Elephas maximus indicus: one gene and its partner. The protein of the gene in region 1 binds, or shares a complex with, the protein of each later gene. Links are inferred from orthologs where the notes say so. Each region holds a gene or a part of one and is shown on either strand. Other genes may lie near its edges.

Region 1 (8,123 bases):
AAATAAGAACCAGAGCATTTAAAGAATAAATATTTTTAAAGCTCATTATCTAGTTAGAGCAGCTCTACCAAGAAAACAAGAAGAGCTCCTTGCTGTTTAGAGATGGAAAGAAACAAGAGGAATCAGAGTTGTCTCTCCATCATATAGGGAATTTTAAATTTTATGTTACTCTACAGTCACAGAATAAACAGTTCTTTTATTTAAAGAACACCTACAGGCAGAATCTTTTGGGCCTGTGCCTTTGAATAAAGATTTTTATACAAAATTAAGGGCTATATTCCAAATAAAAAAGAAGAAAACCACTTGACGTTAAGCCCTTCTATTCTTACGGTTAAATAGAAAGAGACACAGAGCAAGCTCCTTTCGTCCACTGCAATTGCACTATTAACTTTAACCATCGTGACTTAAATTATTATCAAAGAAAACAGTACTAATTATCAAAAGATCAAATCAAATCGACTGGTTTTTTTCAAAATATTTTGTTAGCCTAAATTTCTGATGATTTATCAAGATACTCAAATGGAAATAACCCAGCCACCTAAAGGACCTGTGTATTATAGGACTTAATACAGAAAACATGAAATTATCCATAGTAACTTAACCTGTTAACTTTCTTGAATGCTCTCCTAGGAATTCAGTTCTATCAGCCACTGAGTAAGCCTTAAAACCTTTTGATCTAAATCACTCCTACAAAATGTCTATTTACAATTCATGCTCGAGATGGAAGGGACGGCTCAGAAGCAGTAGTGCAGAAGCAATACAAATTTTGCTTAAACAAAATAGTATAAATGGAAAATGAGCTACCTATTTGACAGCATCCTATGAAAAATCAGAATTATGAAGTAGGAACCTCATCAGCCCCGCCTCCAACATACACACAAAAGAAGAAGATATTTCAGGAATAAAATATAGAACTCATTCTCAGTTAATGGCTTAAGCAATTCCTATTTTCAGATCCTTTGTATTCATCTTTTATGGCCCACCAATATAAGTTATGTGACATATCAGATAATACTTATTCTTAGAGCGTTCAGTTAAATTGACATCCTTAAAAAAAAGTCATTAAACTAAAAAGCCTAAATGTACCTTGTTAATTTAAAAAAAAAAAAAAAAGAAACTCTTAGTTTTGTTGAGGTAGGAAATAAGTTTTTCGTACAGAAGACTTTTGATACATTCAAAATTTGGTTAGTCATGATCCAACATTTGCTGTATCTGAAAACATTATTTTGACATAAACTAATCCTTAAACAGCTATAACTATTTACCCAGACTTCATCTTGACACAATACTAGAAGACAAAAATAAATGGAAAACAAAACAAAAATACAAAAATATTCTTACTTGTCCCATTGGTGGCCCTCCCATAGGGGGCATCATTTGTGGCATCATTCCATGAGGTACAGGTGGCATATTCGCTCTCTGACCCATAGGGTGCATTCCCATGGGGGCATAGTGCATGCCAGGGTGTCCCATCTGAAAAATAATGAAAACTAAACATCAGCAAGTAACAGAAAGAGCTTCTCAAAAATCTCAAATGAGTTCTCTGCAGTGGCTAATATTAAAGTAATGTGTGATTGAATTACGCAGATAGTTTATACTCTCTTGTCCTATATTAACAAAAAATGCACTACAGTGTTTATAACAAGCTTGCAACTGCCATATTCCTGAATATAACTTGAAACCATCATTGAACATCTAGATCAATTTAAAAAGAAAAACTGATTTAATCAGTTACTAACTGGCTTGCCAAACTTGAACGAAATTTATGTAATAACTACTTTAAACTCTCATGGTGAAAGCCACAACTTTGTCATATTTCACAGATACAAAAGAGAACCATCTATTGCTATTTTATAACGCTTTTTTTAAAACACGTTACTTAAATGACTTTAAAACGCTAAATTTACCAAATTAACTCAGATGAGAACTGGTCTTAGAAAAGACAGATAGGTACCTAGGGACACTTCACTCCTAACAAATAAACATATTCTTTCCTAACACAACTTTTAAGACAGGTAAAATTCTTCCGGAAAAAATGCAACTTTAATGCTCTTTAAAAAGACAACACTTCACCTAAGTGTCCATTGTTCCAGGTCTTAAAACCAAGTAAATTTCCTGCCAATGCTCCCACTGCAGACACCCCCACTACTAGTGAAAACAAATTTTGGCAGCCTCTTTTAAAGTCTACAAAACCAAGTTTCCGCCTCCCTCTTCCTGCTAAATCAGGCCTACCTCTCCTAGACGCTTACCCCGCCCAGGGCCCAGCATCTCCACCACGCCTCTGCCTACGCCAAGCCCACCGGGAACTTCCAGGGTCCCACATCCTTCCCTTTGTGCGTCCCCGCCCCCCATTTCTCTCCATCGGAACATATCCCACCATCTCGAGCGCTTCCTCCGTCCACTCTTCTCCTCTTTGAGAAAGCTTCCTGTCTCTCTGACTCCGTTTTTCATTGTGCCACTTTCCCCCTTCCCCACCGATCCCTTACCGAGGGCCGGCTCCTCAGGAAGCCGTCAGCAGAGACCCAAGAGCTGGAGCAAAGGCTTGAGCCGGGCAATCTCCGCTCCCCGTTCCCGGGACCCCGCGACGGAGGATGGCTCTCCATTTCACTCACCATGAGGCCTCCACGCTCTGCTCCCGTCCCCGGCCTCATCGTCGGACTCTGACTGCTCCGCCGGCGGCCACTGCCGCTACACATGCCAACAAGAAGCGATCTGAGTGGCTGGCGCCCGCCGGGGCCAAAGGTTAAAGGCTGCGCTGCGCTTCGGGGCGGGATCAGCGGGGCCAATAAGCTGACAGGCTTCCCCGAAGCCCAATCTGAGTGCGCGGCCGGCACGCAGCTCTGCGGCGATTCGCCCCCAGCCTCACTCGACGTCGCCTGCATGGAGGGGGGGAGGGGGACGGAGGAAGTTTCTGCTCCGAATCCTCCGCCGGGAAAACTTCACCAACTTCCCCCGGGGAAGAGAAGATAACAGTGTCCCAGCTTCCCTAGTTGGGACGGCCGCACTCCTCCATAGGGGGTGGGCAGCGGGGGCCTGGCGCCTTCACCGCCCCCAACCAAGTTACGTACGCCCCACAAACCTGAAGCCGCCAGGGGTACGGTGGGTGGGGGTGGGGTAGGCAGCTTCTAGCGTTAGCGGTGGCTGCGGCCAGATGGCGCGCGCGCAGTGCTCGAGACAGTGGGAGGGGCAAGGAAGGGAGGGGGCGGGGAAGACGGGAGGAGGGGCCCAAAAGAAGAGAGTTCGAGGTAGGTAACAGATCGGAGAGCGCACGCCCTGGCAGAAGAGAGGTAGAGGCGTGTAGAGGGCGTGGAGGGAAGGAGTGGTAGGGGCAGAGAAAAAAAGATGCGGAAGAGAGTTAGGAATGGGCGGTTAAGGCAAGACACGAGCGCGTGGCGGTGAGCTGCTCTTAAGGAGGAAATCAGGGAAGAAGGCAAGCAAAGAAAAGGGAAAGAGCAAATAGGTTCGGGAACGTGTATCGGAGCGGCATAGGCGGGCGCTAGGACCGGGTGTCGGGAAGGTGCGGCATTGGAGCTATCAGGGCGCGCGCCTGCCTAGAGGTGACGCGGCGGTGGCTGAGGTCTCCGGCCGGAACGAAGCGCTGCAGGAGCCAGGCATTCGGCTACCTTCGGTCTCGGCTCGCCTGCCGCTCCGCGCTTTGCTTCTCTCCCTCCGCATTGCCAGACCCTGGGTCGGGCTCTGGTCCAGGGGCGTTCGGGCTCTTTAGGAGGCCCGTCTGCTTGCTTCCCGCCAGCTGCGAACTCCTACGCACCCCTGCACGCCAGAGCCGGGTGGTCGAGGCCGGGATAGGGCCCGGGCGCTGATTGGCTGCTGACGGCCCAGGGTGGGAGCCGCTCCGCCTCCGCGGGCCTCACGGTCTTTCCCGCCATGTCGTTTGTGGAGAGCGGGAGCGTCTTGGCTTTGCGGCGCCGCCGACTTGGCACTCGGGCCCCACTCCCTCGGCCGGTGTACTCCGCCTTCTCTCAGGGGGACGGTTGGGGCGAGGGCGAAGTCGACGAGGAGGAGAGATGCGACCAAGTGGCCCGCGACTTGCGAGCCGAGTTCTCGGCTGGGGGGTCGTCGGAGCTCAGGAAGGGCTCGCTGCTACCGCCGCACGGGGACGGTTCACCGGTTCTGCCCGATAAGCGCAATGGCATCTTCCCAGCGACTGTGGGCGGACGAGCCTCGGCTCGGCGGTGGCCGGTCCAGGTCCTCTCTGTGCTCTGTTCGCTGCTATTCGCCGCCCTCCTCGCATTCCTTCTTGCCATCGCCTACCTGATAGTAAAAGGTACTGAAGCGCGGGCCTGAAAGTCTGCCCAGAGCAGAAGTTGGGCCTGGACGCGTCCCTCGCCTCCATCTCTCCCTCTTTTCACCGGCAAGCTGGCAGCCTCTTTCATTCAGAGTCGTCGTCTGCACCTTTCTTTGCTCTTCTCCTTTTGTCTTCTCTTTCCCAAGGTGGAAGACCCTGGTCTGTGATCAGCAGACTCTTTTTTAAGAATGATTCCTTTGATAAATGGGTACTTCTGAAGATTTAATATCTTAAAATCAGTGACCACTTGGGGTGAAATATTGAGAAAAGCAAATTTCAGAAACACCATCATTAAAAGGAGACGGTGAAAAATGGGTGTAATTGAAAAGGCTACAGGTTCAGTGGCTTTGATCCACCGATCCCTCTGTACACTCACAGAATTCCTGGAGGACAAGAAGTTCTAGCCCACAACCCAAATTTGTACTTGGACGGGTAAAATAATTAGTCTCTCTTAGTTTTATGTTATATTTGTAGCTGGGTGTAGTAAGTAAAGTTTTACCGCAGCGTCCGTAGGGTTTTTTTTCCCCCCTTTAGTAGTGCCTGAAGTTGAAATATTGGCCAGATTGGAATAAAAATAGATGTGCCTTGAAAGGTTTTGCAGAGGCTGATACAGATGTATTATATGGTTGGGTACTGCATATAAAAGTAGAAGGATTCATACCTGAGTTTAAATATCATTTCTGAGTAGTGAATGTGACCTTGGCCAAATTATTGGAAAAAAATATAAAACGAAAAGAACTACCTTACTTTGTGTATAGAACACACCCGACACATCTCTGAAGTGTCAGTTTCATTTGACTAAATAGTGTATATTTGTTTAACTACAGTTATTTTTTACTCGTTGTTTCCCAGCTCCTAATGGGCAGCAGATAGCATCTAACAGCTTACAATGCTTGATTGTAAGAAGATAGACTGACAAGTTACTTTGTGAATTTTACCTCTTCATGAGATGGTAAACTGTGAATATGAATTACTTGGCTGCCAATGTTTTATTATTTTATCACTCCTTCTCCTCTCCCCTTATTTTTTCACAGCAATTCTAAGAGACAGTTTTCTAGGTACAGGCTTCCCTTGATATCTGAATGTAGAGAGTTCCTGTGAAACATTTCTTAAGCTGAAATGGCGTGAAACAAAGAAGCATTAACATTAATTTATATGGGAAAATTTTTCGAGCATTTCTCAGGCCCCAAAACTAACCTACCAAATCATACCAAATAACACTACCAGGCAGTAAAAGCAGGAATGATATACAATGCTGAGATGCTGAGTATAGTTCCCATGGAAGGAGCTTGGCAATGCCACTGACTGCTCAGGGTGTGTATTGCATCTTTAAAGGCTCACTGCAAAACAAATGGCTGATGGCAGTTTCCACTTTTTGCCTCTTTTTGTAAAAGCAAAAATCCTCTGGATTTTTTTTTTGTTAGTGAAAACAGGTACTAGCGTAGGTCTTTTGTAAAAGCGAAGTGGTGTAAAGCAAACTTTAGAGAAACAGGTGATACCTCTACCTTTTGTTTTTCTCTGAAAGATTGCCTTTGCATCATAAAGTCATAAAATTGTTGTAAATTGAAGTTCATTGCAGAAAACATTGAGCTGTTTTTATACTAAAGAATGGGGGAAGGAATTGAAGTAAGACCTGGTATGCTCTGCAATTGCTATTAAACTGTTTTCACAGCAACCCTATGAAGTAAACATTAGCTTTCCCATTTATAAGGTAAGTCTTACTTGATTCCTGAAGATCACGTAGCTAGTAAGTAGAATCAGAATTCGAAACCAGTTCTTTGACTCTGGAGTACTTTGCACAACTTCACAATGTCACCCAAGCCTTTGATTACTTCACATTACGAAATAACTTTATTCTTTACCTAGCCCTCTCTTTGTATTTACAGAGTTGCATGCTGAGAATCTGAAGAATGAAGATGGTGTAGACACTGGGCTGTTAGGTATGGACTTAATTTGATTTAAGGTCCACTTCTGCTTTTCAAAACATACTTAAATTGTACAAAATTTTAGATAAAATGCCCAATATGTTCGTCTGTGCCCTTGATTCAGTCTTTGATTTGCGTATATATGTGATGAGTTTTTATTATGTTATATTTATAGATGTATGTCTGTATACACACACACACACCCATTATAAAATTTTGGAAGTACATTTTGAGTATTACCATATGTGATTCGAGTCCCTGGGTGGCACAAACAGTCAAGTGCTCAACTACTAGCCGAAAGGTTACCAATTCAAGCCCACCCACGGACATCTTGGAAGACAAGCCTGATAGTCTGCTTCTGAAAGATCACAGGCTGGACTAGTTCTACTATGCACACACGGGGTTGCCATGAGTCGGAATCAACTTGACAGCGACTGATAAAAATATGTGACTCAAATCCATGGGATACTTAAAATTTTCTAGTTGTCTTCGGAGGAGGCATTCCAGGAATTAAAAAAAAAAAAACCTGATAAACTTAGCAAAGATAACATTTTAAGCAGAACTTTGTAGATATTTAAGTTCAGATCCCTTTATAAGCAACTTCTGTTCAAAAAAAAAGGCACATTGGGTGTACTTGCATAAGTTAATGACTAGTAAAGAGTTAGACCTGAGTGTGTGTAGAGTGCATTAGTTTACGGAAGGAGCCCAGTGGTTAAGCACTTCGCTGTTTACGAAAATGTCAGCAGTTCAAATGGACCAGCCACTCCGTGGGAAGAAGATGTGGCGGTCTGCTTCCGGAAAGATTTACGTACAGCCTTGGAAACCCGGTCCTGTAGGGTCGTGATGAGTTGGAGTTGACTCAGTGACAGTGGGTTTGGTTAGTTTACAGACTTTCAACGAAAAACTCTCAAGAGTTATTTATCCTGTATTTGTTTCCCTCCACCAAGAGCTCAGAGCCCTGGTGGCACAGTGGTTATGAGCTTGGCTGCTAAACAAAAGGTTAGCAGTTTGAACCCACCAGCTGCTCCTTGGCAATTCCATGGGACAGTTCTACTCTGTCATTATGAGTCGGAATCAACTCAATGGCAGTGGGTTTGGGTTTTTAGGTTTAGCAAGAGCTCAGAACTTTATCTGTCCTCTATGTTTGGCATATTTTTAGCCTATTTAACTATGTTTCATTTGATTAATCATTCCAAATTAAAAAAAAAATGTGTACATCCTATCCTGCATATTCCCTGGCCCTACCTCATTTTAGCTGAACTAATATATGGAGACCTGGTGCCTTAGCCATTAAGAGTTCAGCTGCTAACCAAAAAGGTGGGCAGTTCAAATCTACCAGGTGCTTTTTGGAAACTCTGGGGCATTTCTCCTCTGTCATGTAGGGTTGCTATGACTCAGAATCCAACTTAATGGCAATGGGGTCGATTTTTTTGTTGTCGTTATTATATATGTAATACTGTGATAGGAAATAGGAAGATTATATCTGAGGCTTTGCTAATGACATGAATTTATTATCAAGACTCAGGAATGAGCAGAAACTGCCCTTTTTTAAAAAAAATTTTATTGTGCTTTAAGTGAAATTTACAAATCAGGTCAATCTCTTATAAAAAATTGACGTACACCTTGCCATACGCTCCCAGTTGCTCTCCTTCTAATGAGATAGCACAGTTCTTCCCTCCACTGTGTCTCCTTGTGTCCTTTCGGGTAGCTTCTGGCCCCCTCTGCCTTCTCGTCTCCCCTCCAGACAGGAGATGCCAACATAGTCTCATGTGTCTACTTGATCCAAGAAGCTCGCTCTTTACCAGTATCATTTTGCATCCCATATTCCAGTCGAATCCCTGTCTGAAGAGTTGGCTTTGGGAATGGTTCCTGTCTTGGGCTAACAGAAGGTC
Region 2 (7,388 bases), on another chromosome or scaffold:
AGAAATCACTTATCAAATGAACTTTTTTTGAAACAGCTGCACGGGTATGTAAAAGTAAAACCTGCGTTAAAAACCTTACATTTAAGAAAAAATAATTCTGAGATTAATTTTGATTCCAGTGTGGGCCAATGGCAGTCATGCTTAATTCTTGAAATTTCCCAACAGACCAGACCTTTTACCCTACACCTCATTCCATGTCCAAGCCGTATCCCTTTCCCAGCAGAATCCTTTAGTAGTAAATACAAGAGCCTTCATTTTAAGACAGCTCTCCAAGGACCAAACCAGAAAAGATGCTGAAGGGAAGGTTAAATTCAACAAAATGGTAAATAGGGGTGAACTGTAAACACACTTAAAGAACCACTTTTTTGTTTAAACTGAGCTTTATTTTTTTCTTTCAGAAAGTACCTATAAAAAAGTAAAACCACGTTTTAGGGGGAGGGAGGAATACAAAATTATGATGAAAGGCCATGCTGCGAAAAAGGCACTTTACTTGGGTGTACAATACCTGCAGTGTTCTCCACTGGGGCCATGTCCAGAGGCACCAGACACTCACCTCACCAACTGGCAAGGAAACTGAACAGCAGCTGAAAAGGATGGAGTGAGGTGGGGGATGGCCTGGACACTACGCTCACTCCTAAGTGGGCCCCTCTACCTTCCTGGCGCTCGTGGAGAACACTGTTGTTATCAACAAACCAAAACACTGAACTGCAAAAGCAGGACTCACTGAGCAAAAACTGGCAGGTTATGTTAAAGCCATAAAAGTACACCTCATCATACCTCTTGTCAAAAAAGAAACCACTAAAATCTCAAACTGCCAAAGGACAGAAATATTGTTCAGGATAAACAGTAACAACCTGAAAATGCGTTTAGATGCAGAACGTGTATTTACCTATATAAGCTCTTTCTTGTTCTCGAGTAAGTCCAGGAGGAATAACAGTAGGCATTCCTGGAATCACCGTCTTCTGTTCCATTGTGTCCTGGTTCCAGCGGCTCCTCTTCCGCTTCTTACTCGGGAAGTCTAAAGGCAGATAAAATCCATCAGATGCAAATACAAACTAGCACAGTAACTGCCAACAGGCAGCACAAGACACCTGTATTCCACAGAACCTCAGCAGATGGCGAAACTGAGGGCCCAACCTAAAACTTAAACATCACGGAATGTAAGACAAATGTCAGAGATCAGAGATTAAAACGAAACATATGGCTACTACAAGCGTAAGAGAAGCTGGGTCAGAGAAGTTAACGTTACACATTTATAACTTCCCTCTAAAGAAACTACTAACGTGTGTATATGAAATGACAAAACGTAGTACACAAAATCTCACGTAATTAAATTTAATACTAACAAAGTAAATAGCGTCTATACTACCTTGGCCGGAATGCCTCAGAAGCCCCAGGGGAGACAGGAGCAGAGTGAAGGACCACAGACAATCTGTAGAACAATGCTGGGGGAACTGCTGGCTCCTACCTCCACCCCGCACCAGTCACCTTTCTGAATGGAGCCGGGATACCCCTGAACTCATCACTACACACTACTGCGTGAAAAGCCCAATCCTTCAACACCACCACCTTACTCTCCATGCGTTTAGCCATGATCAGCATTCGGTGATCCCGGCCAGGTAGACACTTAAAGTCTGAACTCTTCAAAGATGTATGAGTTCACACCAACAAGGTATGTGAAAGCAGCTAAGCGGCCCTTCCCCGACAGAGAGGCAGAAACTCCCAACTGTTAGCACGCAGAAGTCGTTCTAGTTCCCCAAGGGTGCAAGCCAAGAGGGAAAGTCTTTAAAAACAACAGTAAAGTGGAGGCGGTGAGACTGAGCAAGCTCTAGGGTAAACGAAGGGAGATCAGAAAATAAAACAGGGAAGGCAGTGACCAGATTCCCCCCACCCCACCCCACAAAAAGGGACCAGGAAGGAACAGCCCCAACCATCAGGTGGAAACTCTCAACCTCTTTCATTCTTTGTACTGAAAACCTCGCCTTAAGGTGCAACTAGGGAGGCGATTCTGGGTATTCTTTTCCCTTTCAGACAACTTAGACCATCAAAAGGGCGGCCCAAGTCACGAGTTCACCCTTTCGCTCTCCTGTCCTCCCGGTCTACCCACCTGCCACCCTCTACACCCGGGCCACTCAACGCCTCCCCCTATGCCAGCGGACCGGAGAGCAAATAAGGGCCCCGGGCTTTGCAGCGGCGCCCCGAGGCCTGGCCGCCACACTGCGCCTGCGCACAGCAGACTGCCTCCCGCTCTTCCCCTCCCCCCGCGCGCGTGCGCGGTAGAGTCCCCGTGAACCAGGCCGCGCGCGCCCCTGCCGCGTGCAGCCGCCGCCGCCGCCGAAGCCGCGCGGCCCTCAGCCGGCCGGGCCCGTCGGCGCGACGCCGCTCGCGCGCTCGGCCCGACTCACCTCCTCCGCCGCCGGCCGGGCCTGGCTGCTGGTCCTGACGCGGCGGCTGGGGTGGCTGTGGCGGCGACACGCGCTGGTAGAGCGGCGGAGGGGGCGGCTGCGGCGGCGGGTTCGCGGAGCCCGGGGACGGCAGCGGCGGCCGGGGCAGTGGAGGGGGCGGCGGCGGTGGCGCCGCGAAGGGGAAGGCCGCGGTCAGGGCCCCCATCGCGCCCGCGGGCGGCGGCGGCGGCGGCCCGGGCACCAGTAGACCCGCCCCAGGCCCGAGGGCGGGCGGCGGCCCCGGCTCGAAGCTCCCTTTGGGCCCGGGGAGGCCCAGCTTACCCAGCGCTCCGGTCGCCATGGCGCCCCTGGGACCGGCACCGGCGGCTCCTTTTCCTTAGCGGCGGCGGCGGCGGCTTCTCCTTCGCCAATCTTCCGGGGGGGGGCCGGACTGCGCTGCCGCGGAGCCGTCCTCTCACGCGGCGGGCGGCGGCGGCGGCGGCGGCGCGAGACGCACAAAGAGGGAGGAGAGAGGGCGCCGCGGGGGCGGGCCGGGGGCGGCGGGGCCGGGGCCTCGATTGGACCGGGCCGAGGCTCGAGGGGTCGGGATCGGCGTCTTCCGATTGGCCGGTCCCTAGCCGTTGTCGATGCGCGCTGGGATTGGCCGAACCGTTAGGCCGAGGGAGGAAATGGCGGCGAAGCCTGGCGAGCTGGGGCTGTCGCTGCGCGCAGTTCGTTTGTTACTGCGCGGACTGAGCTCGGAGTCCAGGAAGGCGGGGAGGGGATGGGCAAACTCTATGACGTGGAAGAGGAGCGCTCTCTCATTGGCTGGAGTCCGTTGAGTCAGTCAATCTTGATGGCGTCGTAATGTCTTGGGATTGGCTGTCACTCGCTCGATTCTTTTTCTACTCTCCGGGGCGAAGTTTCGACCGGATGAACCAAGAGGTCGCGGCTGAGGAGCCCCAGCACCAACGAGTTTTAAGGCAGGAAGGAGGGGCAGGGAGTGCGCATGCGTAGATATGGCAAAGCCGCCTTTCCAGCCCTGTCGGCTGTGGACCCCTGGGTCCGGCGCTGAAGCTTTGGGTGACGTCATCCTCTATTCCCATGGTAACCCGGGCCCGTGGAGTGGCGGGGTGGGGGGGGCGACGCGCGCGCGCGCAGTAACCGGATCCGTTGTCGCTGCAGGTAAAAAGGGACTTCCTGTTTTCTTTGAAGGAGCCCTGGTGGCGCAGTGTTTAAGCGCTGGGTCGCTAACCGAAAGATTTGCGGTTGAAACCCACCAGGCGCTCTGCGGAAGAGTACAGACTTACAGCCTGGGAAGCCAGATGCGGCAATTCTACTGTGTTCTATAGCTAGGAGTCGGCATCGACTCTTCTCGGCAGTGGATTTGGTTTGGGTTTTCTTTGAAAAAACTAAAAAGTGCAAAAAAAAAAAAAAAAAAAGAAGCCAGCTACGGCATAGTCTTATTGAAGGATTAAAAATTATCTGAGCTAATGTGAGAACATAATCTTAAATAATCTTAAAAAAAATCTTAGGTGAATGATAATATGAAATTGTCAGTTCTAAAATTAACAAGAATAAATCGTTTCCATTAGAATCCCAACGGGGTTGGAAGGGATTTGGAGAAATTATCTTAAAAATCATATCCGAATGAAAATGGTGGAAAAAGGTGTAACAGAGGTTGAGGAAGAGCTCGCCTTTCCAGATAGGGTAGTATAAAGACACAATGACGAAAACCGTATATTGGCTGTAGGAAGGACAGATCGGTGGAGCAGAATCTGAGTAGAGTCCAGAAATAGATTCCCCATATGCAAGCACGAATACCAGAAAAGTGATGTTTCAATTCAGTAAAGAAAAAATGATTTAGTTATTAACCCATTGCCATTGAGTCAATTCCAATTCATAGCAACGCTATAGGACAGAGTTACAACTGCCCCATAGGGTTTCCAAGGACCAGCTGGTGTAGCAGCCGAGCTGTGCCACCAAGACTCCTTAGATGGTACCAAAACCAACCAAACCTAGTGCCATCGAGTCGATTCTGACTCATAGCGACCCTATAGGACAGAGCAGAACTGCCCCATAGAGTTTCCAAGGAGCACCTGGTGGACCCTTTGGTTAGCAGCTGTAGCACTTAACCACTACACCACCAGGGTTTCCCCTTAGATGGTACAGAGTCTTAAATATAAATAAACATTCAGATTACAATTTAGGAGACAATAGGGTAATCTAGGGGTTGAGAGAATTTAGGAAGACAGGAAACTCAAACTATTTATAAAAGGTATGCTTGATTACAAAAAAATTTCCTGTGATAAAAGAGAACAGAAATGATAGGTTAGTAAAGCTATTTGGCACATATATGGCAGATAAAGGGCTAATGTCTATAATAAACAATTCTTTAATTAGCAAAAAAGACAAAAACAATAGAAAAATGAGCAAAGAATATGAACAGACAAGTTCCCAGAGCTAATCCAAATAGCCAAGAAGCATGAAAGGTGCACAGTCTCCCTAAGAAAATGCCAATTAAAATGGTACAGGAATCTCCATATATAACCATCAAAATGGCAAAATATGTAAATATTAGCACCTACTGTGAATTTCTTTTTTGGAAAGCATTCTGTTGAATGAGATGAGTATTATCTCTACAGATGAGAAAACTGAGGCACAGAGAGCTTTAAGAGACTAGCCCAAGATTACAAAGTCATATAGTTTCTATTTGCCTGAGACTCCTGAGTTGGACGGAAGAGGATTTGAATCCAAACTGTGCCACTTTCTGATTTTAAGGAGTGTTGAGCAAGTGCTTCCCAGTTTTGAGGCAAGTTGGGAGTCAGCCTCAGATATCCATCAGCTGGCAACTAGGGGAGTCATTTCATCTCTCCGTACCTCAGTTACTTCTGCAGAATATAGATGATGGCATTGCGCTGCAGGGTACTGTGTAGATTCCATGAGATCGGAGAACACAGTTGATTTTAACGTGGTATCTGCTGAGCTGCAGGGGCCAGAGCTGCACACAGATTTCAGACATAGATGCTCCCTGGCTTTATACAAGGGTGAGAAGTTTCAGCCTTTTCCTCCTAATCCCTGGCATTTTCTGTGTCTTAACTCTATACTTGATAGCTCAGAACCCCCAGGCCCTGGGCAAGATACAGCTGGCCAAGCCTGTAAGGAGTGAATCCCCTGTCCAACTTTTGGAGAGCCCTGCATGTGATCCCATATCCCAATTAGGAGTAATGATATCTACCATGGAATGAGAACCCACATCCAAAAACAGACCAAACCTGTTGCCCTCAAGTTGATTCTAACTCATAGTGACCCTACAGGACAGAGTAGAACCGCCCCGTAGGGTTTTCAAGGAGCAGCTGGTAGATTCAAACTGCAGACCTTCTGATTAGCAGCCAAGCTCTTAACCACTGCACCACCAGGACCCACATACTTCCCATAATTTTTCTTTTCTGGAAAACCATGTTTACTTATAGCTTCCAATCTGAACCGGGCGGGGGGGGGGGGGGGAGATGGGTAGTAGAATTTGTGACTTAGGTACAAATTAGAAAAACAGAGCAATAGATGTGTGCAAATCACGTATCTGATAAAGGACTTGTATCTAGAATACATAAAGGACTCTGAAAACTCAGTAAAAGAACAAACAACCCTATCTTTTAAAAGGGGCAAAAGATTCGAACAGAAACCTCACCAAAGGATGGTAAATAAGTACAAAAGATTCTCAATATCATTAGTCATTAGGGAAATTCAAATGAAAAACACTATGCAACAGATCAAAATATCAGATAGGAAACTTAGGGGCAGGAGGTTTATGTTAATAGAGGAGGAACAACTCAGAAAAGGAGGGTGAGAACGGTTGCACAACTCCAAGCATGCAATCAATGTCACTGAATTGTACATGTAGAAACTGTCGAGTTGGTATACGTTCTGATGTGTATATTCTCAACAACAAAAATAAAATATATATTAAAAAAAACCACTCTACAGCACCACTACACACCCATTTGAATGGTTAGAATTAAGACGGCACTGGGTTTACTGGGTATGAAATGTCAGCAAAGGTGTGGCGTAACGAACTCTCCTACGCTGTGGGGAGGAATGTAAAGTGGTACAACCACCTTGGAAAGCAGTTTGGAAGTTTCTTAAAAGGTTACCACCTACCATATGACCCAGCCATTCCTCTCCAAAGTATTTTCCCAAGAGAAATGAAAGTATATATAGCCGCAAAAGACTTTATGCGTGTTCACAGCAGCCTCATTTCTAGTAGTACAAAACTGGCAGCAATCCAAATGCCCATCAGCCAACTGTGAGACATCCATGCAACGGAATACTACTTGACAATAAGAAGGAGTGAACTATTGATACTTGCAATAACACGGATAAATCTCAAAATAATTATGCTAAGTGAAAGAGGCCAAACAAAAAGAATACATGCACTATGATTCCATTGATACAAATGCTGGAAAATGCAAATGAACGTGCAGTGACAGAAGATGGGGTGGCCAGGAGGGGTAGGAGGAAGTGATTACCAAAGGGCACGAGGGAACCTTCGAAAGTGATGATGGAAATGTTCATTATCTTGACTGTGGCAATGGTTTCATGAGTGTATACCTACATCAAAACTCATCAAATAGTACATTTTATTGTATGTCAGTTATACCTTGATAAAGCTGCTTATTAAAAAATAATAGAAGAAGGCAACTACAGAGAGAGGATTCTGTTCACAGTTTGGGAAAGAACACAGGTATGATTTCTCTCCACTTAAGTCATCATCTAGGAAAGGATTGTCTTAGGTTGTTTTGGTTTTTAGCCATTGAAGGGTTTCACTGAGTAATTATTTTTGAATATTTTATTACATTTTTTTACACAATATTTGTTACCCACAAAAGGATGCACCTATGTAAGTTAGGAACTGAGTTGTAAATTCGGCACCCGTGAAGCTACCACCCAAGCTGAGTACCAAGCCCCCTTGGAGGGACCACCGTCTGGAATTTGTGCTTTCCTTCC

What was found.
Region 2: the proteins of PRPF40A (region 1) and SF1 are in contact, whole or in part, in an NMR structure (PDB 8PXX), measured with the Homo sapiens proteins. The link is inferred for Elephas maximus indicus from reciprocal best matches to the Homo sapiens genes PRPF40A and SF1. Residues at the interface, in NP_001352526.1 of Homo sapiens: His164, Ser166, Tyr172, Tyr174, Ser181, Thr182, Trp183, Tyr213, Tyr215, Ser222, Arg223, Trp224; in NP_004621.2 of Homo sapiens: Pro575, Pro576, Leu577, Pro578, Pro579, Gly580, Ala581, Pro582, Pro586, Pro587, Pro588, Pro589, Pro590.

Annotation. Positions count from the first base shown.
Region 1 is NC_064824.1:49,938,496-49,946,618, forward strand, and holds the start of PRPF40A (pre-mRNA-processing factor 40 homolog A), read right to left. Parts: upstream 3,139-8,123; 5' UTR 2,883-3,138; coding exon 2,487-2,882; intron 1,474-2,486; coding exon 1,342-1,473; intron 1-1,341. Other genes in the region: ARL6IP6 (ADP-ribosylation factor-like protein 6-interacting protein 6), read left to right, coding at 3,886-4,285, 6,193-6,246.
Region 2 is NC_064825.1:127,945,425-127,952,812, forward strand, and holds the start of SF1 (splicing factor 1), read right to left. Parts: upstream 3,157-7,388; 5' UTR 2,746-3,156; coding exon 2,406-2,745; intron 1,019-2,405; coding exon 890-1,018; intron 1-889. UniProt on the Homo sapiens protein: Necessary for the ATP-dependent first step of spliceosome assembly. Binds to the intron branch point sequence (BPS) 5'-UACUAAC-3' of the pre-mRNA. May act as transcription repressor.